Linked DNA regions of Rhinolophus ferrumequinum. The protein of the gene in region 4 purifies or fractionates together with the protein of the main gene of each other region. This does not show direct contact. Links are inferred from orthologs where the notes say so. Each region holds a gene or a part of one and is shown on either strand. Other genes may lie near its edges. The genes, in order: NSF, VAMP8, STX12 and STX6.

Region 1 (7,273 bases), on a different chromosome or scaffold from region 4:
CTGATTTCCAAGGCATAGATGTAAAGTTGTTTTGCCAGCAACTATGAACATTGTTTGAGTCATCCCCACCTGCAAAAAAAGGTGAAACAGCAAAGATAACGTTTTTACCTACTATTGTTTGTACCTATAGAAGGAATATTGGGGCTAGTAATAGGGCTTTATTCCTCCACGCCTCACAATCTGAGAATATGCATTGTTTTCCCAAGATATTCATCGTGCCTACGAATGAAACAAAGTCCCTACCCACATGACACTCATTAAAGGATTACAACCATATAAACAACACATACATTTTTATATACATTGTTTTAAATACAACATTGTGTATATATACATTGTATATATATACATATATACATATATACATATATATATATTTGGGAAATTGTATATAAAACAATGTATATATACAATGTTTTATATACAATTGTTTTATACATACAAATTTTTTAATAATAACATGCATGGGGAATACATAGGGGAGGACTAAAAGAAAATAGACCTAATTTATTGGTGACTGTATTCAAGAAGTGGGGTTGTGACTTCTTTTAAGTTACTGAAAGAAAATATTGTACTGATTTTATAATGCAAAACTCAACTTGCTTTTTCAAAAATACAAAACTGATGATTAGGAAGGAGGTTTAATTGAAATCATGAAAGCTGTTCAGGGGAAGTTTATCAAACTCAACTGTGGTGACTCAATAAAAATAAATTGCTTATGGTGATATTGATTCAGTGGGGTTTTTTTTCTTAATTGAAAACACTTCTTGTCAATATAATGTTATTTGTACAGCATGGAAAGTACAAAGTGCTCTTGGGAGAAGCAGAGATCATTTCACTCTGAGAAACATCTTATTTGGAGATAGTTCCCCATCTCTGAGTTAGACTGTACAATTGGTTAAGTGCTATTAGCATTAGTTATAGTACTCTTGGTAGTGGTAATATCTGCTGTGTAACCACTGGGTCGGGTGCTGAATGTGTTATGTATCTATGATAATTATCTAATTCTCACGTGACAACATTTGAGTTTATAGAGTTTAAATGTTGCACAGTATACCCAGAACACCTTCCATCAAGAATTACTGAACTTATCCCTCTATTCTGGTCACACTTCTGCTCAAGAGATGTCTTCTCCCTCTCTTGGAAAGCGCTGCTGTACATATTTCTTGCCCTAGAAACAGCCCTTGGGTAAACTTGCCCTTAGGAGAAAACTTAAGACATACCTGCACTTTTTCTCAGGGGCCCTCTGGAAAGCTGTCACAGGTAGCCAATATAGTCATCCCACTCAGCTATGGTTTGTGGGCCTCGAGTGTCTTAATGTTCTAGGAAGTGCAGCTACTCCCAGGAGACTCTGACTTCCTTTTCTCAAGATGCATAGAAGTTCATCAGGCCGATATCTGAATAATCTCTCTTCGGAGATGCAGGCAGCTCTCTGGACTCATGTTAGTATGCAGGGTTAGGCAGCCTGGCAAGTGCTTTGGGGCTTGCACTAAAGGATGGTCTGGTTTCCATAGCAACATTCATTCCTTTCCACGGAGGATTCTATCCTCTTGCCCACTCAGAATTTTCAAATAAATTGATTTCAGTGACTATGGGTGTTTGTCCATGATCCTCTAAAGAGAAAAAACCTATTTAATAATACTACTACTAAAAATAAGCCCAACAAAAAAAAACCTGACTGCAGCTAGAATGCTGCATTGCATCAGCTGATCTTCTGTTCTTTCACAATTCCATATCCTTTCTCCATTTTGTTCGTTCTCTAGCCTTATCCATCATTTTGGGAAATAGGTTTCTCTGACAGAAAACAAATAGATGGCAACGCTGTCTCCCTAAAACTGGCTAAGATGGGGCTGTAAAATGAAGTTTTCAACAAGGCTCCCTGAAAGCCTGGCCTTAGGGCAGGGGTGGCTAACCTGTGTGTGGAGGGGCAAGAATAAGGACTGCGATCCACTTACCGCTCACAATAGAGAAGTCAGTCTCTGAAATTTGGCAATTAGAGATTTGTTTCCTTAGGTTAGGCATTGCTCTCAGGCAGTACTCCTTAAATTGCATTTACTCCTGGGAAGAGTGATATATTAGGTTACTAATGCTAAAAGAACTTGGGAAAGAGAGGAGGTGGTGCAGAGCGAAGGGTACAAAGGGGCTCTGAAGACCACCTTTGTCTGCTTCACAGTGCCATCTTCTCCAACAGGGGTGGTGCAGGTCCTTGCCTGGGTTCTGTGCTCCCTCTCGGGAGGGCAGGGTACCTTGTCTGACAATACTTCCAAGGCTGCATGAACTGGGGGGAGCAGTGACCAGAAAAAGGGAGACAGCAAAAACAGGGGGACAATTATCATTGCAAGGGTTGCTCAGAAGGTGATGCCGAATCAGCTCCACTTTGTTTCTAAAACGACCTTGACTATCAGAGCAAGGCACAGATGGGATGGGCAGACATGTGATGACCTGGAGAAATGTCTCAGAATCTTCTCCAGCTGGATGCTAAGCACCTTAAGGACGGAACCTCCTCCGATTTCTTTAGTAGACACTGCAGGGCTGTGCACATCATTCTATTGCATTTATACAACTTGACAGAGGATACAAAGGGCTCCTTATTATGGGTAGATAAGCTCATAAACTGACACACAGGAACCTCTCCAGCAGACCCATCTTTCCTAAGTGATAAATATTACTCCTGGGTGGAGAGATTAAAGACATTTTCCCTTATAATTTAGTTTTCCTAGTAACAAACTTGAGGTATAAATACGTTTGCATTATTCTCTAGCCTTGAAAATAATGTCAGATCACTGAACTGAGAGCCAACGTCACTTTTTGGATTTGGTAATTATTTGAACAACAGCTCTTTGATTTCTAGATTCAAATTCAAAGTATCAAAAAATGTAAGACACAATCATTAAGTTCATCTAATTACTACATCTCTCACTTTACAAATAAAGAAACAGGGGCTCAGACAGGTGAAGGGACATGGCGAGTGACTTGCAGAGAAAGAGAAAGGGCAGAGAAAGAGAAAGGACAAGAACCTGACTCCCCATCCATCCTAATTGTTTTTTATCGCTTTGCAAGTTAATACGAGTGGATCAGAGTTCAAACAGTTCTTTCCTCATATACTTTCTGATCCACCTGTGATTTAGTTAACATCTGATTTGCCCAACAAAGCACTCTGGTTCTCAGGTACAGTGTGAGGGTTTACGAAACTGGCCTGAATATTTTCTTCTGTCTCTGGCCCATCTTCAGGTCACTTACTCATTTATTAGTTCTTAATTTTAAATTGCTAAGCATGCCCAGCTCTTCTAATTTATTTTTCTTTCCTTTCCTTATGCTGGGAAAAACTATTTTTTCTAATTAACTGTGAGAAATGAAAGATAATAAATCCTACCGTTTCTTATTATCTTTTGTAAATATGAAGAGAACTATGAGATAGCGGGGACAATAAAACCATCAGAGAACCCATTTGGCAGAATCACTCTTCTTGCACGATGCCATCTGATGATGACCAATTCTGAATTTCCAGGGAGGAAATGGTGCTGTAGAAAGTGAACAACATCGAGGTTAAAAACAAAAAGACACAATTTAGGGCATATTTCATTCAAAATCCACTACATATACTGCCTAAAATGAAACGACACTGGGGAATGACAAAGATTGTTAAAGACACAAATTACCTTTATAAATATTATATTTAATAATAAAATAAAATAAAAATAAAAATAGGAAATAATCACAACTCACTTTTAAATTAGAAGAATATTAACTAGTTTTCCAGGCTACACATAAGCTAAATACCTATATATGCCAACTCTGAGACTTTCCAGCCCCTAGGAAAACAAGTCTGCCTACAGAAAAAAAGCCTGAATTCACGCAGAATTTAAATTTAAAACCAACCATTCATTACTGCTCTTTCTTGGGGGCAGGCCAGTACCCGCGCTGGGTGCTCTTACATTTTTAAATTTCAGTGGGTCTGGAAGCATAAAGCTACATAAAGACCATTAAAGGGCAAAGAGCAGCGGGCAAAGAGATAAGCAGGGGCTCACTGATTAAAACCTCAAAGGCCTCGCTACAAAGTCAGGCGCAAATGGCCAGCTGTGATGAGATTCGAAAAAGAAGCCCTGGAGAGAGAGACTCGCGGGCGGAAACGTAGGCTCCAGAAATACAGTCACTGCACCCCCGCCCCCAACAGCTCCCGTTCAAAATGGCGCCCCCGCCCCACCCACCCCTGGCGGCCGCCGCGCCCGCACGCGCCCTGCGGGGACGCGGCCGGGCGCGCGCGCAGCATTACGGGGGCTGCGCGCCTGCGCGAGGCCGGGCGGCGGGCGCGCGCGCGGCGGGGGCGGGCTTTGCATAGAGCCGAGCAGCAGCGGCGAAGTCGGACGTGTCCGCGAAGATGGCGGGCCGGGTGAGTGCCGGCTCGCGAGCCGCGGCTAGAGGCGGGGGCGCCGGGCTTGCGGGCACTCGGAGGTTCAGACGGCCCCAGGAGAGGAGGAGTGGGTCTGAGCAAATGGCTTGTTGGAGGGGGCGGCAGGGCAGAGAAGGGCTTGAGGGCGAGAAGGGGGAGCGGTGGCAGGGGAATAGCCCTCCTCATACACTCCATCCCCCCAAGAAAGCTCCAGGGGAGGTGAATCCCTGGCTTTCCGGATCTCTCGCGTCTCCTTTAATTCTCCTTTTCCATCCCTTGGGGCTGTAACTCTCGTCCCTCAAGGCGGCCGCAGGATTGTGGCCGTCCCAGCCCCGTCTGATGGACTCTGGGGGTTTCTCAGTACCCCCTTGCGGGGGCTTATTAGGTGCAGCCTCGGAAATAACTGCGGGGGCTCCGACTGCTGCTTTGGGGCGAGAGCTGTGGGAAGGATCATTAGGAACCCATTTCTGGTTCTTCACAATAAAAGGTCTTGGGAAAGGAGGAAGGAGTGCAAATGACTTAGTGTTAAACCCCGGCCATCTGGGGGATCGCCACTCTTGGATCAGACAGGAATGCCTTCAGCTTGCAGTGGGGATTTGGGGTGTCGCGTTTTGCTTTTATGAATGACAGTCACTTCGAATGCAGCAGGATATGTTATAGTTTCAGGGTTTTAAATTTTACTTCCTCCTTTAGCTTGTAAGATCGCGGTGTAGTATGGGCTTTGGCGAGGGGAGATAGGGCTGGTTCAGCGCTGTACTGCAGTGTGCGTTGAGCTAAAAGCTCTCTGAGGGATGGATCCGTCCAGAGACTACACTCGTCATAAACCTGGGGACATTAACCTGCGTCATTAGGGGATAGGGATGGGCTTGACTGATTATGCTAGAATATTTGAATAAGTTTGCATAGATTTATGCATATATACAAATGTCCTACCTAAAGGAAATTGTCATGAGATTCCAGAATGAGAAGAGACCTTGAAGGTCGTTTATTTCGACCTTTCTCTTCCTTTTCCCCATAGCCTCTCCTTTTTATCTATGGCTATTCCCTCCACCTATGCTTCAGATTCTGTCTTTTCCCACCTCCTCAGGAACCCCACTCCTGTGTATTCACCTGCTCCCTCTTACTCAAGCTCCAACTAAAAGCAAACCCTTCCTCCACTTCCACAGCTGTCACCTATTCTCTTCCCACTTTACAGCCAGAGATGTTGACAGAACTGCCTCCACTTATTGTCTCCCATTTGTTTACCACCTACTCTCCATTCAACCCCCCACAGTCTGATTTCTGGCCCTGTCATCCCATTGACATGTGTCCCTAAACTTAATTGACATTTTTCATTCCTTGTCATACTTGATGTCTCAACCGCATGTGGCATTGTTGACCATTGCCTCCTTCATGGAAAACGCTCCTCTTATGGCTTCCGTGAAATCTTGCGCCTGTTTTTACTCATACACCTCTTTTGCAGACTCACCCTCCTCTGCCCGGTTATTCAATGCAGATATTCCTCAAGGCTCTCCTCACACTATTTTCTCCTCGGACAATCTAGTCTAAGCTCACAGCTTCAACGATCTATATGTCAATGTTTCTTAATATTTTACTCCCAATCCAGACCTATCCTTTAAGTTCCAGCTCAGTATGTCAGACTGCCTATTCGAAATGAAGGCATGTCAAATTCAGCTTGTTCAAATCCAAACCCATTATGTTAGCCCACCTAATGAGTGCTTTTCCTGTGTTTCCTATGTCAGCGAATGGCACCACCGTCCATCCACTATATAGGCTAGAAACCTGGGGTGGGGTGTCATTCTTTATACCTCTTCATCACATCCCCCAGTGACATCAGCACTGAGTTCTATTCCTCCCCCACCCCAAAGAAAGGTACTGAGGTCAAAGAATCTGGCTTGGGGCATTGCTGCTTTATCCTGTACCCACGTCAGCCACTGGGCTGGTCACTTGGGTTCTGTCATTTTAACATTCTAAACATCTCCAATCTGTCCACCCCTCTGAAGTCTTCATTTTCACTTCCTTTTCCCACACGACTATCATTTCTGGTATGAACTACTGCGGGAAGCTCCTGCGTGGTCTCCATACGTTATTCTCCACATCGATTATTCCTCCCATGTCCGTTAAACCCCTCCCTCAAGAGCATGCCGGTACTTTTGGGAGAAGACCAGATCTGTAACCGGGCCTGCAAGGTCCTTTGTGGCTCTGCCCCTGCTTCTCTATTTCCCTCCTTACTCTCTATGCTCGGGTTATAAGCCTTTCAGTTCTTTGAACCTACAGTGGTTTCTCTTAGCACCAGGTCTTCTCATGTGCTGTTTCTTTCTTTGTGATGTTTTGCTCCCAACCAGTTCCCTCCTCACAGATCACTCAGCTACTCAAGGGAAGCCTGTTCTGATCCCACGTTACAAGTCCGGATCCTTTGAATTATGCTCTTGAACTGTATTTCTTTTCTTAGAGATTTATCTGTTTGACATTTTAAATTTATTAGTGTGATTACTTGCCCCTATTATTAGAATTTCCCTTCCAGTAAAGCAGAGACCATGTGAGTTTTTGATTCACTGTCATCATCTGTGCTTTGCAAACTGCCTGGGACCTAGGTGCTCAGCACATTTTTGTTGAAAATGAATCTAATCTCTCTTTGAATACTCCAGTGATGGGGGTGCATCGCCTTCCATAAAGCTAGCTCATTTTACTGTCATGTTAAGATCTTTTTTATATGGAGTTCCATGTAACTTTTATACATAGATATTTCTACTGTTCAGACTTAGCTACATAGAACTAAACACAATTCCTTTTCCACATGATAGCTCCTCAGATATTTGAAGACAGGTTACATATTCCCTCCCTCTGTTTTGTAGATGTTTCTTCTAAGATGTGCTGAGTGGA
Region 2 (6,838 bases), on a different chromosome or scaffold from region 4:
GCCTCTCATCTCACGATTTTAACTTGATTTTGTTCGAGGGGTTGGTCTCCAGTTACTCTGTCAGGATGAATATACAGACTCACGGCATTAGCATTCATTTAACAATAAAATAGTCCAAAATTTAGGTAAGAAATTTCTTCATGGATCTCTTCTAATAAAAATTGTTTTTCTGTCTGCACTGCAGAGAAAGAAGTCCTCTTTCAGATCTTTCAATTCAATACCCCAAGCATTTAGTGAGTGCCCACTCTGTGCAGGGTATATGTTATTTTCTATGAGGGGTACCAAAATAAAGATAGCCCCTGCTTTCACAGAATTTAGAATCCTGGAGGAGTCAAGTATGTATCAGTTAATGGCAAAGCATATTATAGATTCTATAAAAGATAAAATGTTGATGGAGATCAGAAGGAAGAAGTCAACCTCAGTGGGGAAAGCAGGAAGGCTTCATGGAAGCAATGTCTTTTTTTTTAATAAATTTTATTGGGGAACAGTGTGTTTCTCCAGGGCCCATCAGCTCCAAGTCGTCCTTCAATCTACTTGTGGAGGGCGCAGCTCAGCTCCAAGTCCAGTCGCCATTCTCAATCTTTAGTTGCAGGGGGTGCAGCCCATTATCCCACGCGGGAAATGGCAAACTTGTTGAGAGCTCGCGCTCTAACCAACTGAGCCATCCGGCCGTCCCTCTGGAAGCTCAGTGGCAGCTCCTTGGTCTTCAATCTAGTTGTGGAGGGCACAGCTCACTGGCCCATGTGGGAATCGAACTGGCAACCTTGTTGTTCAGAGCTCGTGCTCTAACCAACTGACCCACCTAGCCGCCCCTGGAAGCAATGTTTTAAATATGAATAGATTTTCTGTGGACAGTGATGAGTGAACCAGAATATTCACTCATCATGAGAAAGGTCCACCTGGGCAAAGCTATAAAAGCGGATGGTGTGTTTGGGGAAGGGTGTGTAATTTGGTATGACTGGGGTCTGGGAGGTGAGTCACAAGGGAGATCAGTTTGGAAAAGCATGTTGAGAACAGTCTTGGAATGCCAAGCTTTGGAGTTTGGGCTTTACCCTGGAGGCAGGGTGGAGTATCCTCAAATCTTTGTTTTGGGAAGATAACAAGTGGAATGGAGGAGAAAAGAAAAGGTCAGTTTGGAGGTGGATGGAATTGTCCAGAGATGACATCATGCTAGCGTTACCCAGGAAGCAAGAGCTGGAAAGGAGGGGGTGGATATGAGAGACATGCATGTGTAGGATGTCATTGCATGTGTAGGATGTCATTGCATGTGTAGGATGGCTTAGGGATTCCTAGCTTGGGAAACTGGTAGACTATGAGTACTTACTCCCCAGGAGGAAGAATACGAGGAGAAGATAAAGGAGTTGGTTTGGCTATGGACTGTCCAATGCATTGGAGAGGCAGCAATGGCAATTGGAGAGAGGGCAGGACTGGAGATACAGATTTGGGGATTGTCCATTAATCGCTGTTGAAGGCATTGCACTTCCCTAGGGAGATAGGGTTTTTCAGCCTTGGCACAGAAGACTGGGATATATACCAATGTACCCCAAAGTTTGCCTGATTGCTGGCTGTTAATATTCTTCTTCCCCTATTTTCTGATTTTTCCAGTCATAATTCATGTCTTTCTCAGTGCTACTATAGCACTTTGAACTTCATTTAATACTTTCTACATTCTATTATTATTCTATTATTTCTATATTTTACTACTGTTTCCATAGTAGTTTGTTTCTGTAGTTTGTCCAGTTCTTGGTACATAACAGACCATAAATGCTGAACTTAATGGAATCATCTAATTTTGAGTGATCTTTGAAGCACCTAGTCCACCCTTCAAAGCAATTTTGGAACTCTTTTTCTGGAATGGCCATCAGAGCTGTCGTCATATTACCCTTGATGTCCTTACTGTCATCAAAATGTCTTCCTTTCAATATTTCTTTCATCTTTGGGTAAAGAAAGAAGTCATTGAGGGCCAGATCAGGTGAGTAGGGAGGGTGTTCCAATACAGTTATTTGTTTACTGGCTAAAAACTCCCTCACAAGACAGTGCTGTGGGAGCTGGTGCATTGTTGTGAAGCAAGAGCCATGAATTGTTGGCGAAAAGTTCAGGTCATCTAACTTTTTCATGCAGACTTTTCAGCACTTCCAAATAGTAAACTTGGTTAACTGTTTGTCCAGTTGGTACACATTCATAATGAATAAGTCCTCTGATATCAAAAAACGTTAGCAACATCGTTGCATCAAGTTTATAAACTTAATTGTCAGACCTCGTAGATCAATGTGTGTAATAGAAATATAATTTGTGCACTTTTGTAATTTAAAATTTTCTACTAGCCAAATTGAAGAGAAAAGAAACAGGTGAAATTAATTTTATCAATTTTTTTTTATTTAACAGTACTGAGGTGCCAAAAAAATGTATACACATGACTTGTATTTATCTTTTGTTATCGGTATATATTGAGTATTACAATTTTAATACGGTTTTCTCCTTTCTTAACATGTGTATGCATTTTTGGGCACCCTCTGTATATCCAAAACATTAACTGACATGTCATCAATATACAAAATTACCAATGGGATATTTATGTTCCTTTTTTCATAGTAAGTCTTTGAAATCCTGTGTGTATTTTACTCTTACATCAGATCTCAATTCAGATCCATTTCAAGTCTCAACAGCTACATGTGGCCAGTAGCTACTGTATTGTATTGGACAACACAAATGAAGATCAAGATTTCTGACCTGCCTCCACTTGGCCACACTGTAGCCTTTCTCAGGATGGTGAGGAGTGGGACAGGCCACATTCTCTGTGAGAGCAGGCTGGGATTGTCCACCAAAATTCATGTCTGCAAAACATAAGAATCTTATTTAATTGGGTATAAGATTTCATTAGAAATTAGAAAAAAGTGTCTCAAGGTGCTACAGAGGCCCAAAACTTATTAGACCCTTTAAAAAGTATTTGTTAGAAAGGCTGACATTTTCCTCTTGGAACTGTTATTTCTGAGATGGGACAGGTATGTTTCTCTCTTTCTGCATGTCCCTGTTATTGTTCTATCTTGATAAATACCATCCGGGAAAAGTGAATTTTCTCTGGCCTAGAGCCAGGTAGGTGGAAATCCCTTGCCCTGGGCCCCCTCTCTATTCCACAGGGCAGCCTTCTCACCTTTTTTGACGGGACTTACCAACCCTGGTAGTGGTGGCCCCTGAGAGAAATGCAAGATTGTTGACCTCTGGAAGGAAAGGAGGGGTTGGTGCGCCATCGTGTTCTTATTCTCGCAGTGGACAGTCCTTCATTCCAGGCCCTGGGCTAGACACATTGCAGGGACTCTCCTTTTACTCCTCTCCATCGCACTCTGAGATCTCCTTAGTACCTGCAAAACCCAGACAGGTTCATTCACCACAGTGTCACCCAGCGAGTAACCCAGAGCTTTCTGACACTTGAGCCCAGGATCACAGAATTCCAGACTTTGGGGGGATTACTGCTTTCTGTCCACCCACAGACGTGGAAGCAAGGATTGTCCAGCAAGCAATGTTTATATCTCCTTTCTGCTTCCATGTGAAGTAGGCCTGGCATGGTGCTTACAGTTGAGTTCAGTCTCTAAAAATTGGGGTCAGATATTCAGGACATAAAAAAGGAGCCGGCTGCCCTTTCTATATCAGGGGGTCCAGCCTCAGAAAACCTGGGAGGGCTGTTTCCTCTTTTTTTTCTAGTTCCTGACGAGTTAGAAGACTTCGGGTGCGGGGGAGCCCTGTTGCTTTAAGCCTCAGCCCCGTTTTGGGAGGAGACTGGGAGGGCAGTGAAGGGTGCCCGCCTACCTGGGGGAACCCGCGTAAGGTGTGGCTGGATCGGCATGGGATGCGAGGTGAGCAAGGGGCGGGCTGAAAGTTGGAGCAAGCAGGAAGTGAACTGAGGGCCGCCCCGGGAGGAAACAGACTAGGCGAATTCTACAGCTGACAGGCCTGAGACGCTGAAACATGGTGAGTGAGCTGGGAACTAGGAAGGGGCTGATTTAAAGACGAGCCAGAAGGGGCTGGGGATCAGGAAAGTGGAGTTAATGGCAAGTCCGAGGGCTGGGGCAGCGCTGACTGTGGCCTCTCTTTGACAACTAGCTGCAAGTAGCTCTGGGCTGCCCAAGCTGTTGTTCCTGATCCTTCTCTACTCCCTTCCTCCCGTGACCTCAGTGCTGGCCTGGAGCAGGGTTTCGGTGCGGGTGGAGGATCCGAATTCCAGGCAAGGAGTTGCCGAGAGGCCCTTCGTCGCCTCCTCCAGGCCTCCTGCCCTGGGCCAACTGGGCGTTGTGAAATTCCTAGGCAGCGCCTCTACTGTTCCCAGCGCAGATTCCAGCCGAGCGGCCAGCGCTCTCCCCCTCTGCCGTTCACTTCATCCCTGTAGGGAAACCTAAAGTTTATCTCTCCAAGGAAGAGTCCAAGGAATTGGCCCCCTTTCCATAAACTTGAGGAAGAGCTAAGGGTTTGTAAAAGAACCAGAAGTCGGCTCTCTGTGATAATTTAGTTTGGACCCACACCCTAGCCTGTTTCTGGAGATCCAGTGGATCAGGGAAGCGAGGAGCTTAGTAACGTTTCCCCTTCCCTGTTCTAAAACCTTAGGAAGTCTCGGGTTGAGGCATTAAGCAGGGAGGACTTGCCCTCCATTTCCCCCAACGCCCAGACTGCTGTTTTTATTTAATATCTGCTTAAGTGGCGATGGTTTGGTGCCTGCGCATGGTGCTAAGTGCGGCTGGGAAAGCAGAAGTTTGCGGCCCAACGGATCTCTCTCATGGGGCCTTGAGAGGGACAGGGAGCCTCGCCGGCCGCTGGTCCTCTGGGGTCACAGGAATTAGGCTCCCCGGGAGGCGCTGGCAGACTCAGCTCTCCAGCTGCTCTCTTCGAGAGACAGAGGGTTGGGCCAGGTGAGGGGGTTCTACTGGCCAGCACAGACGTGTCCAGGGAGGACCCGGCGGGATCTGGGAATTGGTTAACTAGTGGTGGGGTTCTGCATTGTGCCATGCAGCTCAGCTGTCTTCTCTGTTCCTCTTTGACGAGTAAGGAAGCAATGGAAAGGGATTTGGTGGTGTGCTTCTTCTCCTTGTCAGGAGCCCTGAGAGTCTGAAAAGAAGTTTGATCTGGTCTAGCATCGGGACTTAAAAATACATTTATTTTTGATTTTGTAAGTTGTCCATGAAAGCATTCTCTTTGTAAACAGTTCAAGCATTACAAAAAGCTAAAGTCTACCTTAGCCCTTCCCCTCTTCCAGGCTCTGATGCTGAGTCTCTGTTCCTCCACCATTTGGCCTAATTAACCCCTGTGTTGCTGCCCAGGAGGAGGCCAGTGGAGGTGGAGGAAATGATCGAGTGCGGAACCTGCAGAATGAGGTGGAGGGAGTCAAGAATATTATGACCCAGAATGTGGAGCGGATCCTAGCCCGAGGAGAAAACTTGGACCATCTCCGCAATAAGACAGAGGATCTGGAAGCCACAGTGAGATGGGGAGCCCATGGGGGCAAGAGGAAGAGAGGGAGGGAGGATCTTTGGGAATTTGGGGGTTGGTGGTGTTGGGGGCAAAATGAACAATTGGGAAGTCTGCCTGTTCACCTGTTTTGGGAATTGATGTAAGCTGAGTCCCCACTTCTGATCCTGTCCTACTCCACCAATTGGTACTGGCTTCCAGGGAATGGGTCCAATGACTGGGGCTGGGGGTCAGGGGCTGACCCACGGAGGCATTTTCTGAGACAGAGAGATGGTGCAGTGAACGTAGGCATTTGTAGGTTTGTTTCTCTCTTGTGAAACTGATTTTCCCTTTGAAGGCTGCCCTTGACAATCATGTGAACATAACCTCCTCAGGGCAAAATACTGGCTCTGGAAAATCCTCCCAGGGCCTTTGGCCTTCTCCAGGAGTTATTAGGCAGGGGGTGGAAAACTGCTAGAGTCTTGCTGAGTCAGCTTAAAAAAAGAAAAAGCTGGGAAGAGCAGTGAAATTCTTTGATGGGGTCCTCTGCTAGCTGAAAGCTAGAATAATATCTCCTACACATTTTGCTAGACTCATTCTTCCCTCTGCCCACCCAGGGACTGAAGCCAAGCCAGCTGCTGAGGGAGGGAGTAACTCTAAAGTCCAACAGAGGCTGCAGCCTAAGTTTCCATGTCCGCAGGGAGACACTGGCTGCAGCCTTCGGAGTCCTGTGTGTAATCTTGAGCATAACTCCTTTGTCTCCCTGGGACTTATGCGTGTTTCCACAGCCTAACCTGGGGAGCACGGATGGCCCCGTGAAATATAGTTTCTGCAACTCCAGTTGGGAGAGGAAGAGCACTTTCCCTCACTTCCAACCACTGTATTGCCCTGGTCCCTCCTCCAACTTCAACAGTCCCCATGGGGCAAGGAATCCTGGAACCAGGGAACACACGTACCCACCTGGGGCCTATCCCCCTCAGCCCCAGTGTCTGCCCTCCTAAGAGCAGATTGTGCTGCCAGTGTCGCACCCCTGGGTGTGAGCATGTGTAAAAAGCCTCTCAGTGTGTGTGACAGTGCAGGGGTAAGAAGAGTAGAGGGTAGGCAGGGGGCCAAGGGGAGCCCAAGAATTCTAAATGTAAACCTGGCCCACCAGATAGTTATGAAGGTACATTTGTCAAGGTAGGAAGACAGGACATTTTCTATTCAACAGCCTATTGTCTGAACTTACCACTTCAATATTTAGGGGTATGGCATGTGGGCCTCTGTCTGGACTCTTGTTCCAGTGGGAGGAGGCACTGAGTCCTTCTACCTTATCCCCTACAGTCCGAGCACTTCAAGACAACATCGCAGAAGGTGGCGCGGAAGTTCTGGTGGAAGAACGTGAAGATGATTGTCCTCATCTGCG
Region 3 (7,165 bases), on a different chromosome or scaffold from region 4:
TTTATTTTTTAATTGGGGAAGGGGAACAGGACTTTATTGGGGAACAGTATGTATTTCCAGGACTTTTATTGGGGAACAGTGTGGTTTTTTCAAGGCCCATCAGCTCCAAGTCAAGTTGTCCTTTCAATCTTAGTTGTGGAGGGCGTAGCTGAGCTCCAAATCCAGTTGCCGTTTTCTTTTTTTTTTTTTCCAATCTAGCTGGGTGGGGGGAGGGGGGCGGCGCTCAGCCCACCATCCCTTGCAAGAGTCGAACTGGCAACCTTGCTGTTGAGAGCATGTGCTCTTAACCAGCTGAGCCATCCAGCCACCCGGAAGCTCAGCGGCAGCTCGTTCTCTTCACTCGAGTTGTTGTGGAGGGCACAACTCACTGGCACATGTGGGAATCGAACCAGCAAGTCTGTTGCTCAGAGCTCGCACTCTAACCAACTGAGCCATCTGGCCGCCCCCTAATTTATTTTTAATTGTAGTTGACATGAGCTCTAATTTTAATGCAGTCTTCTTTGCAACCTAAGTGAATTTCTCCATTGACCCTTCCCTACCTTTCCGCAGAAAGCTTGCCATGTTGGTTATAATGGTACTTTGTACTTAAAAGGTAAAACTTATTTACTGAAGTATAGCATACATACAGAAGTGGGCATTCATCACACATATCTGACTTGATGAATTTTCACAAAGTAAACACACCTAGACGATCACCACCCAGATCAAGTAAGGCTGCTACGAGCTTCCTACAAGTCTACCTCATGGGCCCATTCCTAGTCATCCCCTTTCCACCCCGGAACTAACTACATGCTGTTCTGACTTTTAATAATCTAGATTAATTTGGCTGGGTTTGAACCTAATAAAAAAAGGGATCATACAGGATATACTCATTTTTGTCTGGCTTCCTTTGCTGTACGTTATATTTGGATGAGATCACCCACATCATTCACATAGCAGCAGGCCATTTAATTTTATGCTCTATAGTACTACAATTTATCCATTCTGCTGATGGACAGTTGTTTCCAGTTGGAACTAGTAAAAAAAGAAATCCTGCTCTGGCCTTCTTCGTGCCTCAGACTGGAAACAATTTGAATGTCCATCCATAAGAAAGTGAATAATCAAATTGATAAAATACTATTTAGCAATAAAAAGGATCAAACCACTGATATATGCAGCATCATGGATAAATCTCAAAAAACATCCTTAATTCAAACAAGCCAAACACTAAAGGATACATAAAATATGATTTCATCACTCTGAAGTCCAAGAATAGTCAAAACTAATCTGTAGTGATGAAAATCAGAAAGTGATTTCTGTGGATAAGTGGAATTAATTAGAAAGAGCATAGTTCGAGGAAACTTGCTGGGGTGATGATGAAAATGTTCTATATCCTGGTTTGGGTGGTAGTAACCTGGGTATGTACAAGTGTCAAACAAAATTCATTGACTTGAGGGGTGGCCGGATGGTTCAGTTGGTTAGAGCACCGGCTCTTAACAACAGGGTTGCGGGTTCAATTCCCACATGGGCCAGGGAGCTGCGCTCTCCACAACTAGATTGAAGACAACGACTTGGAACTGATGGGCTCTGGAAAAACACACTGTTCCCCAATATTCCCCAATAAAAAGTAAAAAAAAAATTCATTGACTTGAACACTTCCTATCTATACATTCTATTGTATGTCAATTATGACTCAATAAAAATTAATACAGAAAAATGCCATTTAGTCCTAAAAAATGCTATTATGAACATTCCTATATTTGGTTTTCGGAACACATATGTGTGCATATCTGTTGATTATATAGTTAGGACTAGAATTGTTGAGTCATAGAATACGTGTGAATCACAGCTCTGTAGCTTCATATCTGTATCACATTGAGCAAGTATCCAGAACCTCTACAGAACACAAGTTTCCTTATCTGTTACCAAGGAATTAATCTCACCTTTATGGTGCAAACCATGAAAACTGTTTTTGTCAATTAACAAAAGGACATAATGCTGAGAAACTTTATTCTCTAAAACCACAGATTTTCAGAAAATGTGCTAATTGAAATATCAATAAGAATTGAATATTCCACTCGACTGGAGAATCTGAGTTACTCTGACACAGAGAAACAGCCTCAGTTTTCCAACCCAGATGCAAACCTTCAGATAAGGGCTTTCCAGGTACAACATTCCACGTTAATCTTCATGTTGTAGTTTCCAAGGAAACAGGATTTTGAGTCCTCTTATCAGCTCAGGCCTGATGAGAATCCCTTTACACATAGCCTGGTGTGCTTTGAGGCTATATCAAAACACCACATCTTTTCTCCAAATCCTAGAATAACTATCTCTTTCTGTGCTTGGCGGGATGCCCCATGATTCCTCTGGTGTGCAGTCTGCCTTGCAGCATTAAGTTAATAAACCTAACTTTGTCAGACCACAGGTGGTCTTTATCACATGGGCTTTATCTTGGGGATTACTGATAAATGTTTGTACAATTTGTTCACATTGCCTGGATAGGCATTTAAGAAATGGTAGTTATTTTTAATTATTCATCTATAAATCCGGTAAATGTTCATTTGACATCTAGTATTTGCAAGGTACAAATGTATTGCTATGAGAGATAGCATAAGGCACAGCCATCTTTTAAAATTAAAGTGGTTTAAAATTAAAACCACTTTTAATTTTAGGTGGAGAAAGAAAACAACAATAACCAATGTCTTCAGTTGCTAGGAGAAAAATACCTTTACTGAACTTCACTTTGCATAGAGTGAAATGTAAATGAAAACATTCTCAAGACTATTTTAGAGGTGAAAAAAAAGTACAATTTACATAATTTGCTGTAAGATTTGACATAAAACTATGGATTCTGAGAAATGGTAGGGTTTTAACCAGAATGAGAGCCCCCAAATGTCATCTGCCTCTTTTTATAGAGGAAAGAAAAATGCTCTTATAAATGCTCCAACGAAAAATAGAGATCGACTGGCTTATAAAAGCTCTAAAGCTGAAAGCAGGCTCATTCAACCATTTGGGGTCCCCTCCCACACAGGCAAGCAGCTTCCTCTCTTTACCATTCCCCAGAGATTACAAAGCAGGCTGGGCTGGGGTGGAGAACACAAGAAACAAACCTTGCCAGTTCCCCTTCACTTCTCCCTGTCTTGATCTCCCAAACTCATGTCTTTCCATTTACCATAAGCTCACAAAATGCAGTCTTCTGTGGGAACACTGAGGTCATATGCTCCAAATTACTTAAGGAAATTATTTTAAAAATTCGAGGGTCTAGTTCTCCAAGAAATCCTGGTTTGGGATATAAATGAAAACGTTATTTGGGAGGGATTTAGATGGAGAATGAATTTTGGAATATGAGAATGGGTTTTAGGAAAGTAGGGAGATGATGATGCAGTTAGCTTAGTGTTTGGGTTTTGCAGTCAGAAAAGCAAACTAACCTCTGTGGGCTTAATTTTTTCAATTGTAAAAGGAAAAATAATAACGCTTCCTTTGGTCAGTTACTTTATTTCAACATTTAAAAAATCGATTGTTCATTATCTATTCTGAAGGCAAAAATATAGTTAGGACATGGTCCCCTTGCTGTGAAAGAGCTTATGAACAATTGAATTGCAGTGAGGATTCACACATAGTACGTGATAAATCTTCTTATTATTTTATTGTTTGATTAGAAGAGGGGTGGAGGGAGAAATGAAAGTGGTTTGTAAATCGTAAAAGTGCTCCGCTACTAACAAAGCGGTAGGTAAACGAAGTACAGTGAGGAATTTCAGAAATTTGGTTACGGATCTGAGTTTCAACGTTATCATATACTCCCATATTTGGGCCTGAATTCTCAGAATAGAACAGAATAGGATGTTAAGGCTGAGATCATCTGGTACAATTTTATGCTAATCGAAAATTCTTGCCTCCTGTCACCGAGTCCTGGCGAGAAACAACACAGCCACCCCAGCTCCACCAATCCCAGCTTCAACGGTGTGACGTCATCGCCCCGCCCCGCATTCCCAAGGCCCAGGGCGTCCAGTCTCTAAGCTACCGTCTCTGGTCCCAGCGGCAGCGGCGCATGCGCACTGTGGGGCAGGGCGGGGAGGACGCGTGCGCGCTGCGTGGGGGCGGTGCTAGTGCGCACGCAGCCTCGGCCCCGTCCCTGCCCTTTTTCTTCCCGGTTTCTCCGTCACTCTGCGGTCCGGTTTGGTAGCTGCTTCCGGTAGGACCCCGGTGCAGGGCGAGTCGGTCTCAGCTGTTCGTCATGTCCTACGGTCCCTTAGACATGTACCGGAACCCGGGGCCCTCGGGCCCCCAGCGCCGGGACTTCAGCAGCATCATCCAGACTTGCAGCGGCAACATCCAGCGGATCAGCCAAGCCAGTGAGCCTGGGGACGGAGCTGGGGGGCGGGGGCCGTCCTGGGGACAGGCCTGGATGAGGCTGCCGGGACGCGGAGCCCGGCTGGGGCTGCGGCCAAGGCCACACCTGAGGCCTTCTCAGCCTTTCCAGTCTGGAGGCGGCGAGCTGCCATCCCGGAGTCTGTCAGGGCCGGGCTCCCCCGAGGGTTCCGAGCCCCGGCTGGAAGCTCGAGTCTCGTCTTAGGAGTTATGCCCTCACGGTGTTGGGGCATAAGAGCAGTGCTGACAGCCCCAGGTGGGTGGGGGTATGTGTGTCACCCCGAGAGCAGTCAGTAAGTTGACTTGGCGCAGTGGTCAGCCGAGTATTTCCTGTCATCTGCCTCCTCCCACCCCCGGCCCCACCTCTCTTTCCTCTTTGGCCAGTTTGCATCGGGAGTTGTTTACTGTTTGAGACTTTAGGTTTACATTCTGCTCAGTTTCTGGCTCCTTGGAAATCAGCAGCTTTCAATTAAGGGAAGTGGAGCATGGATGTGTTTGGATGACTTAATACACAGTTCTTCCTTTAATGAATTTGGAAATCAGATACAGTGATTTGTATTTGAGGAGTAAGATGACTTCTGTTTTAATAAAGAGAATTCACCGAAAACATTTCAATTTACATTATTTTGTCTCTTGTAACAAAATATCTGCATATATTTTTGGTTTTCAAGCTGATGGAGCTTTTGTTTTCCTTTCCTATTTAGCTGCTCTTGAACACATGTGATACAGAGAAGCTCAGGGACTTGGCCACAATCACATAGCAAGTAAGACGTAGTAGAGCTGGTGGTGGATTTCAGGATGTCATTGCTTGTCTTAAAATTCTGTCCCCACCAGTAGGGTCTGAGTGAGACTGGCTGAGTGAGTCAAATACAGGCTGTTTCTTTTGCCTGGAAATCAGCTCAGAGCCTTATCAGCAGGAGGTCAGCAGCAGCTTTACTTGGAAAAAACGGTCACCATCGTTCATGTTGTTTATTGTTGTGTTTTTGTGTACTTGGCTGTACTTTGTGACTAGGTAGACCTAGTTGGTCTTGAATTACAATTACGTTCTATATTTTAAAAAACAATCTTATCACTTTGCTTTTAAATTTAAATACTCTTATATGATGTAGAATTTGAGCAGCCGGAAGTTTCTGATGGGAGGGGATTGAGACTGGGTGATTTGAAAGTGGAAAGAAGAATATGTGGCCTGTTAAATCCAGAAATTAAAAAAAATAATATGACTACTGGTTAGAAAATACAATACTTTGTGTTCCAGTTATTTTCGTGTGTGTGAGGGAGCTATAATATATGTTAGATCAGAAAATTGAAGTTCAAGGCTAGAAGTTCTTTTGAGGCTAAATCTTATTTTAATGTCTATTTGTGAAATCATTCTACATATATTTGAGTATCAGGCTATGTAGTAAGTAGTATTGAAACTGCATGGATTGTTTCAAAAGGGTTTCTGTGGAGTACATAATAACTGAAATATAAAGTTAAAAGGGAGCAATGCTATAGAAGAGATATAAACAACATGTAGGTATTCGGGGGAGATAGAGATCATTTTCAGTTGGGAAGGGTCAAGGAAGGCATTATGGCATTTGAGCTAGGGCTGGAAAGATGCTGGGAAGGATTTGAATTTTTGAGGGTAAAGAACAGAAGAGCATTCCAGGAAGGAATAAAACGAACAAGGCCTGGTAGTGGGAAAGCATCGGGTATTATACAAAAGTAGAGTGATTTAATTTGGCTACAGTGGTGGACTTCAGAAAGTAATGGAAGAAGATAGGGTTAGAAAGGTAAGTTGGGGCCCAAACAGGATGGACTTTAAGTGCTAAACTAAAGGGGTTTGGATTTAATTCTTTAGGAATGTGTAAATTGAATTGGGAGAGAGACACTATAATCAGAGACACCAGTGAGGGACTGTGAAAATAAAAAGGAAGGAAAGGATTGGAGAGGTTTCTTTGTTGATAGAATTGATAAAATGTAACTGTTAAGTGGGCATTGGGCTCAAGGGATCATTGGAGTCAAGTGAGTTGACTTGGTGCAGTGGTCAGAGGAGTATTTCCTGTCATCTGTCTCCCCCGCCCCTTTGGCCAGTTTGCATCGGGTGTTGTTACATAATGTTAAGAACATTAATGTGGGTCCATACTGTGTGCCAGGCAGCATGAAAAATTATTTGCATGCATTACCTGACTTAATTTTCTAACAACCTTGCAAAGTAATTACCAATATTATTTCCATTGTGTAGGTTAGGAAACAGACTGAGAAAGGTTAAGTACTTACCCTGCTAACAAATGGCAATACCTGAATTTGAAACCACATCTCTTATGATCAGCAATTAACCTTTTTATAATTTTTAATGAGTATTACACATTTGTAGCAGTTACAAGTGTGTTGTTTTTTTTACTCTCCGTAGGAAACTATGAGGAATACCTGAGGCCGTCAAACTTTGTCCTCTTGTGGTGTGTCTGCCTCCCCTGTTTGATTGTTAGTTCTTCTGAAGCATGGGACATGACTTAACTCATCTTTATATTTCTAGTACTTATGTCAGTCCAAACATATGATAGATTTATTCATTCACTGTTCAGCAAATATTCTTTGAGCACCTGCTATGCACTGGTGGAGAAACAAGACAAAGAACAAGACAGACAAAATCCCTTCCCTGATCGTGTGTGTCTGTGTGTGTGTGTGTATATATATGCACACATGCAAATACTATGTAGTAAATCAGTACTATGAAGAAATAAAATAGGGCAAAGAGATAGAGAGACGAGAGAGAGGGTGGGTGTGCTCTTTTAGATAAGTTGGCCAAGGAAGGCCTCGCTGAGGAGGTGACATTTGA
Region 4 (7,502 bases):
CCTTCTTAGAGTCCAGAAACTTACTCCTGTGCTACCCACATGGAGCTGTGAAGCCACATGTGCCTACTGAACGCTGGAAATTTGCTAGTGTGACTGAAGAACTAAAACTATAATTTAAATTAAACTTTAAAAACTGATATGCAATTCAGTTACCGGAAAATGTTTAACAATGTTGGGAACAATTTGGGTATATGAATCTCCTTTTCAACTATAAGTTTAATAAACACAGATCAAGTATTTCTGATGAAAATTTCACATCCAAATTGAGATGTACCATAAGTGCAAAATATATACCAGGTTTTGAAGACGTCGTACTAAAAAGTAAAATATCTCATTACTAATCTGTATATTAATCATATGTTAAAATATTTTGAATCTATTAAGTTAAGGATGACATTAAAATTAATTTCACCTATTTCTTCTTGCTGTTTAATGTGGCTACTAGGAAATGTAGAATGGCATATATGGCTCACATTATATTTTGTATAACACTGATCCAACAGAACCCAGGGCAGATGAGAGGAAAGAGACTGGGAGCAGGAAGACCAATTAGAGACTCTGGTAAGAGTCCAGATGAGACACAGGCCTGAATTATATAAATTCTACCCATCTTCAAAACCTGATTCAAGATTTACTACTACCTCCAAAAGCTTTTCCAATCATTACTCATCCCTAATGAGTCACCTTGCTCCAAACTCCTGGGTCACCCATCTTCTCTAGCATTCCCCTCAGTCCTCAATCATTTCCACTTGCTTTTGTGGGCAGTTATTTCTCAGTTTAGACTATCAGCTCCTAGGCTAAGGGCCACAGTTAGGTGTCTTTAATTTTTCTACATCGTGTGATGTGTTTTCAATACGTTTAATAAATAGAGGTGCAAGGCTCCTCGAGTAGTCTGTCACACATACAGTCTGACAGACTGTATGTGGCTAAATTTACCTTTGTACAGCAGAAGATATTGAGAGTCTCATTTCCTTCAGATACGTGAAGGGCAATAAAATGATGTCAAAATCAACCAAGACTCCAGGCCAATGTTCCAATACAGCAGTGATAGCTAATCAGTGAGAAAGCACAGACTGTCTTGCATACTCTCAGGGAAAAAAAAAAAAAAGTCCAGATGGCACAGCAATTTAGCATTTTCACAAATTCTATTAAAAATCAAGCAAACAAAATTTTTCTGATTCTCTCTGGTCTCCATGGCCAGAGATAACCTTTGCAACTTTCATTCAGGGGGAAAACACACAGTTTTAACATTTAAAAGTTAATCCCTAAATCGATTCTAACAAATAACACATTTTCCGGGTAGAGAGCCACATATTACTAAAAAATCTACAATTCGGCATTTTCCCACCTACGTTAAAGGACAGTGAGGTCGAAGGGGGATCCAAGATGGTGGAGTAGATAAATGCTGTGCTTGCCCCCTTCCGTGACCACATTAAAATTACACCTAAATTATAGAACAATCAACCTGCAGAACCACCTGAAGTCTAGCTGAACAGAAGTTCTATAACGAAGGCTATAAAGAAGAAACCATATCAAGACTGGGGAAACAATTAAAGTAAGGTGAAGAAAAACCTTTTTAGGGAAACATTAAGAAACGTATAAATATATTTACTGTATCATAGATAATAAAGTATTTCACCTAAAGCACCATTTAAATTTTCTAAGAACCCTTACAAAAATAAATAAACACCCAGGTACCTGGTCAGCTTTCACCACTCCCCAAATAGGAAGTAAGCAGCAGCTATTTGAAAGCAAAGGGACCCTTTATGATTTTCAGTATTGATCATCTAGGAACTTTGTGGTTCTCAAATTTATGTTTGACATTTAAAACATAAAGTTGACAAGTGGTAACAACGTAAGAATCCATCTTTCTTGCATTTGTTTAATGGCTACAAAACCGATACAGTAACAAAGTGCTATTAAAGTTTCTATCGCCAAACAATCCAACAATCAAAGATGGAGTCAGGACAGCTCAAAGGGAAAAACAAGTAGGGAAACCTGTCAAATAGCCTGGATGAAATCAGGGAGTTGAAAAGAAAGCACTCGTTTCCTTTCGCACTGTGGGAAAATCCCGGTGCTAATAGGAAGCCGAGGGAAGTTTAGTTTGGCTGATTTCATTTTGTTTTCCTTCCAACATCATCACTGAGTATGAACGATTGCTTTCCTCCCCTCCCATTACTCAATAAAAACTCCCCCACTGAATTGAGCTGTCTTCCGGAGCTATCCTCCCCAGCCTCCCAGCCTGCAAACGTGCCTGGACGCCTCCGGGCCGGTTGTGGTCCCACCAGTCTGCCGGCCAGCGCTCCGATCTCAATGGACAATGGGAGCTCACCCCCGTCAACACCAACTACAAAGCTCAGGAGGGCCATTTCCCTTTTCCTGCCCAGATGCTGTTTTCCCTCCTTCGAAGCAGGGCCTCATGCTCCACTAGAGCTGGGACCCGCGTCTTTCTACCCACCTGCAGAGCTGCTGAACTCCTCGACCCCCAAATAAGTTACACCGCAGCGCACAGGCCAAAGGGGACCCCCTCCCCAGGTTGGAGGCACGGATTTCACAGTGCAGGTAGACGGGGAGGGGATGTCTCTGGACTCTTGGTCAAGGCTCTGAAGGCTAAGCCGTCCCCACAATCCCCTCCCCAGCCTCAACTTGTCTCCCCTCCCCCTCCAGCAAGGAGAGCGGGGAGGTGCGGGCAAGCAGCATCGCCACCTCCTCCTTCAGTGGAACTCTCGGCGACACTCACCCTTTCACCACAAAGAAGGGGTCCTCCATGGACATGGCGTCCCGGCCCCCAGCCGCCTCACGCCCGCTCCACGCACGGGGCGCCCGCGCCCTCCGATCCTCCCTCCGCCCACCCGACGGGCCTCCCGCAGCCGCCGGCGCCTCAGCCTGGGGATCCCAGAGCAGCGGGCGCGCGCAGGCCGGGGTGATGCAGCCCGCGGCTGGTCCAGCACTCGGTGGGATCGCAGATCGAATCCCAGACTCCGGCGCCGGCCCCCGCAGCTGCCTCCTCCCCCAGCTCCTCCCGCTGGTCCGGCCGGCCTGACCCCGCCCCCGCCCACAGCCTCGGCCAACCACGAACACAGCCCGCTGCACCACTTCCGCACCCGAGCTCACGTGACCAGGACCTGCCCCCGCCCCCGCCCCGTCGTGGGCGGAGCCTAGGCAAGCGTCGCTGGACCCTGGAGGCGGGGCTCTAGGAGCGAAGGAGAGGGGCTGGTCTTCTCTCAACCCGCCCCTCAGGATTCAAGGGGAGGAGCCACCTTTTCTCTCCGAGGAAGACAGGTAGGTTTTCAGGATGTGAGGTAGTACCTGAATTGCACAATCCTTATAACTTTTCTCTACGTACTTTTAATACTTGCTTTTGATAACATATAAATCCATCTCGTCCTCGACTTACCGTAAAGCGTGCTCATGTACATGATCTAATTATGACAATGTTGCACAATTCCTTTAGGTCTTACTATGTGTCCAGCAACGGGATAAAGGCTGTTTATGCATTATCTCAATGTATCGTGTAGGGGACGAGGTATTCTTATCCCCATTTTATAGAAGAGAAAAGTTCAGAACGGTTTCAAGATTTCCTGTAGTCACACAGCCTGGACAGGGCAGAGCCCCAGGTTCTGTCCACCTTTAACCAGACTGGCGTGTATTTTCTTTTGCTGTGTATTTTGCAAGTAATTAGTAAGGTAATTTTTTCATACGGCATATGGTGCTTCCCAGGAGAGAGCACCTTTGAGGGACAAAGAAGGGGCCAAGTATGGCAACCTGCTCTCAGCTATGGTTCAAGAACTCTTCCCAAAGCATTTTGGTCAGAACAATTAGCCAACTCTTATGCTAGATGTGCTATGTGAGTTGTTAATTTCAATTGCTGATAATCACTGAGCAGTTACTGTGTGTCAGGCACTGTGCTGTCATCTCAGTTGCTCGCACAATGAGGTAATTACTGTTCGTATCCCCATTTTACAAATGAGAATTCAGACTCTTGGAGGTTATGTGACTTGCCCAATGTCACCAATCTTTTTGGAGTTGGAAGAGTCCTTTGAGCCAGACAAACCCTGTTTGAACCAGGGTTCTATTATTCAGTTCCTCATCTATAAGAGGTGAAGAAGAATATTTACTTCATGGGCTGTTATGAAGGTTAAATGAAAATGCAGGTACACGCCCAAGACCCCAACGGAGTAAGGTAGTGAAATCAGGGAAACCAGTCCGGAAGCTGCTGTGCTCACCTGGTCTGAAGGGATGAGGACCAGACCAGGATGAATCTGACAGATGTTTCCAAGGAAAAACAAAACAAAACACCTAGACATCATGAGAGATTGAATGGGGTTAGGGAGGAGACAGGTGTAAGTGCAGGCTTCTCGGAGACCTGGAGGACCAGTGGGGAAAAGAAACTATCGGGAGAGAACTGTTTATTTGGCTATGGACATATTGAGATGGGAAGGTGGAAAAGGATCATCATCTTTCATTCCTTCAACAAACACATGTAAATTGAGGGGCAGATCAGCATAGTGACTACGAGCCACACTTGGAGCCAGATTGCCCGAGTTCAAATCCCAATTCTGCTACTTCCTGTTCTGTCTTGAGCTTCCTCTCTCACTGTCCTGAAGTAGACACCATAATAATGCCTTTTGCATAGGGTGTCATGAGGATTCAATGAATTGATGTGTGAAAAGTGCTTAGCACAGTGCCTGGCACGCGCTGTGTGCTCTTACTATGTGCTAGGTGCTGAAGACACAGAGAAGAACAGCCTTGGTCCTCACTGTGAAAGAACTCTCAGACCGGTGAGAAAAACAGGCAGTTACACACAATGAGAGAAGGGCACAGGTTGCCATAGAAACACAAAGACAAGATACCAATTTGGGGGGGGTTGTTTCTAAGCAATGACTGGAGGCAGCCAGGAGACTGCATTGCAGCCTGTGGGGGAGCCACGGCAGAGGGTGATGCTGGCATGTAAGGAACAGGATGGTGACAAGAGGCGCTAAGGCTGGAGTCTGACAAGGTCAGATGATCAGGGCCCTTGATTATGATGTTAAGAACTGTAGACACTCTCCTACAGATCATGGCAGCTGAGGGAATTGGCAGGGTCAGACTGGCATTTGAGACAGACACTGTGGTGACTGGGAGGTCAACTGGGAGGTCATGGTCTAGAGGAGGAGAGATGAGGGTGTCTTGAGATAGGCTCATGGCAAATAGGATGGAGAGGAGGGATGCTTTTGAGAATACGTTAAAGGCAAAGTCAGTGGACTTGGTGACTGATTGGTTCAGGGTGTTAGGGGGTTGCTGAAAGCAGAGGGAGGAAGACTTGCAGGCCTTTCTGGAGTTGGAAGTACGTAGGTAGTTGTTAGTCCCAATCACCAGGAAAGAGAACACAGGAGGAGAATTAGATGGAGGGTGGATGTAAATTAGCTGCTAGCACGTTGGTTTTTCTCACTGAACTAGAAGCTTCTGGAGGGAGGGGAGAATATTATTTTACCTCAATGCGTAGCATACCCTCTGGTTATCTATTCCATGAGCTTATTAGTTAAACCACAAATGAGAGGTCAGAAACAAAGCAGAAGCATAGAAGATAGAGGACAGAGGCTTGGAGAATTCTCATAATAAGGGATTTGTAAAAGTACCAGCAACAGACATACTGGAGGGTTGAGATATGAAATGTGTGTGGGAGGGTATGGGGTGTCCCTTTAATGTCACCCTCCTTCACCCTCTCTCAACCCAAACAAGACATTGGCCTCCACTGCCCCGGGAACAAGGAAGCTATAGTTAAAATGCAAGCATCTTTTCATGGGCTTATTGAACATTTGTATATCTTCTGTGGAGAAATGTATTGAAGTTTTTGCTCTTTTTTTAATTGGGTTGTTTCAGATTTTGTTGTTGCTGAGTTCACCCTGCATCCTTTTTGAAATAACACTGAGTAAGGGAGAAAAGTGTTGCATAGACGTTAGGTATTATACTCTTCATCATTATCTCAGTCTTTTAAAAACCCTGAAATACATATGCGTGCTCTGGAATACTCCAGGAAACATTCGCTCACATTGGCTTCCACTGATCCAGCCGTGGCTGTCTGCGTTTCCCAGCCCCAGCTACAGAAAGTGTCCATCCACACACCGACCCACACACACTGGTTATGTTTCCTTCCCTCTCCTTGGTTGCTACCAGCACCTCTATCCTTACCCTCTACACACTGGTTTAAAATAAGGAGGAATTCTAGTCAACTTATATATCCAACACTAGAAAGTGATTAAGAGTTTATGAAAAATCCATTTGATGGTCATTAGAAACGTTATTTTGAAGTATGTAATGACATGTATGGAAGATTGCAAGACAAAATTGTATATATGATATCATTTCAACTCTGTTCATTTTTATACATAGAAAAAAAGAAATGTATTTAAAGTTTAGCATAATGAAATGTTTACCTGGATCATCAGAAATACAAAAAATAAAAACATAAAAATAAAAAATAAGAGAAGTGAGAAAGTTGTGGCCACGTATGTGAAACTACAACAAAAGTTAGCAGTTTTAAATGATTAATTTTAGAGTCAGGCAAGTTAGAAATGTATAAATGAATGGATATTGGCAAGTATTAAAAGTTAAAATATGTTATTGGAATTCAGTGAAATTCTTGACGAAACAGTGAATTTGAACCAGGGTAGGAGGACAGTTATGCTCTTTACGATCTCTATGAATTTGTTGGTGTGCAGGGAAGGAACAACCACACTCTGGTGGTGAAGTAGTGAATAACAACAGTAACAATGATTGTTAACAATTACTTACTACGTATGTAGCAGACATTGTGCTGAGCAACATACATACATAACCTTCAGAAGTGGCTCCAGAATTTCTCCATAGGGCAGGCTTTAGAATTTAACTTAAAGTTCAGACGGCAGGGCGAGGAGGCTTGAACTGAAGTTACATGGCAGACCCACTGTCTTTTCTTAAATTAGAGGTTTACTTGGGATGGCTCAAGAGGACTACTGGTGATTATGTGTATGTGATAATAGTACTGTGAAATCCCAACAAGTGACAAGTCTCTTATTGCTGCAATAACAAATTACCACAAACTTAGCGGCCTAAACAACACAAATTTATTCTCTTATAGCTCGGAGGTCAGAAGTCCAAAAGTGGGTCTCACAGGCTAAAATCAAAGTGTTGGCAGGGTTGCATGCTTGTGGGAAGAAGCTGTTCCTTCTCCATCCTGTTCTAGAGGCTGTCTGCATTCCTTGGCTCCCTTCCAGCAATGGCACGACTCCCACCTTGCTTCCAAGGTCACATCTTCCCTGATTCTGACACTTTTGCCTGCCTCTTATAAGGACCTTGTGATGCAAACCTAGGTCCCTGAACCAAGGCCTTCCTCATGGCCTTGCCTCCACTCATCTCTCCCACTAACCTCCACTTCCTTTTTCTTGTCTGGGCCTGTCCTCCAGCTCCCTGGACAAACTTAAGCTACTGTTTCCCAACTTGTCATGCTCTTCCTAATGACAGTGTAGTCGCAGCTTGACCCC

The links.
Region 1: the proteins of STX6 (region 4) and NSF purify together in Homo sapiens (affinity purification with mass spectrometry; 3 studies listed by BioGRID and IntAct, with this or other methods). This does not show direct contact. The link is inferred for Rhinolophus ferrumequinum from reciprocal best matches to the Homo sapiens genes STX6 and NSF.
Region 2: the proteins of STX6 (region 4) and VAMP8 purify together in Homo sapiens (affinity purification with mass spectrometry; 3 studies listed by BioGRID and IntAct, counting the BioPlex papers as one, with this or other methods). This does not show direct contact. The link is inferred for Rhinolophus ferrumequinum from reciprocal best matches to the Homo sapiens genes STX6 and VAMP8.
Region 3: the proteins of STX6 (region 4) and STX12 purify together in Homo sapiens (affinity purification with mass spectrometry; 4 studies listed by BioGRID and IntAct, counting the BioPlex papers as one, with this or other methods). This does not show direct contact. The link is inferred for Rhinolophus ferrumequinum from reciprocal best matches to the Homo sapiens genes STX6 and STX12.

The regions. Positions count from the first base shown.
Region 1 is NC_046304.1:40,681,196-40,688,468, reverse strand, and holds the start of NSF (vesicle-fusing ATPase), read left to right. Parts: upstream 1-4,273; 5' UTR 4,274-4,378; coding exon 4,379-4,390; intron 4,391-7,273.
Region 2 is NC_046296.1:8,755,592-8,762,429, reverse strand, and holds the start of VAMP8 (vesicle-associated membrane protein 8), read left to right. Parts: upstream 1-3,819; 5' UTR 3,820-3,963; coding exon 3,964-3,966; intron 3,967-5,306; coding exon 5,307-5,465; intron 5,466-6,756; coding exon 6,757-6,838. UniProt on the Homo sapiens protein: SNAREs, soluble N-ethylmaleimide-sensitive factor-attachment protein receptors, are essential proteins for fusion of cellular membranes.
Region 3 is NC_046292.1:19,033,097-19,040,261, forward strand, and holds the start of STX12 (syntaxin-12), read left to right. Parts: upstream 1-4,143; 5' UTR 4,144-4,213; coding exon 4,214-4,331; intron 4,332-7,165. UniProt on the Homo sapiens protein: SNARE promoting fusion of transport vesicles with target membranes. Together with SNARE STX6, promotes movement of vesicles from endosomes to the cell membrane, and may therefore function in the endocytic recycling pathway.
Region 4 is NC_046305.1:13,349,984-13,357,485, forward strand, and holds the start of STX6 (syntaxin-6), read right to left. Parts: upstream 3,003-7,502; 5' UTR 2,776-3,002; coding exon 2,741-2,775; intron 1-2,740. UniProt on the Homo sapiens protein: SNARE promoting movement of transport vesicles to target membranes. Targets endosomes to the trans-Golgi network, and may therefore function in retrograde trafficking.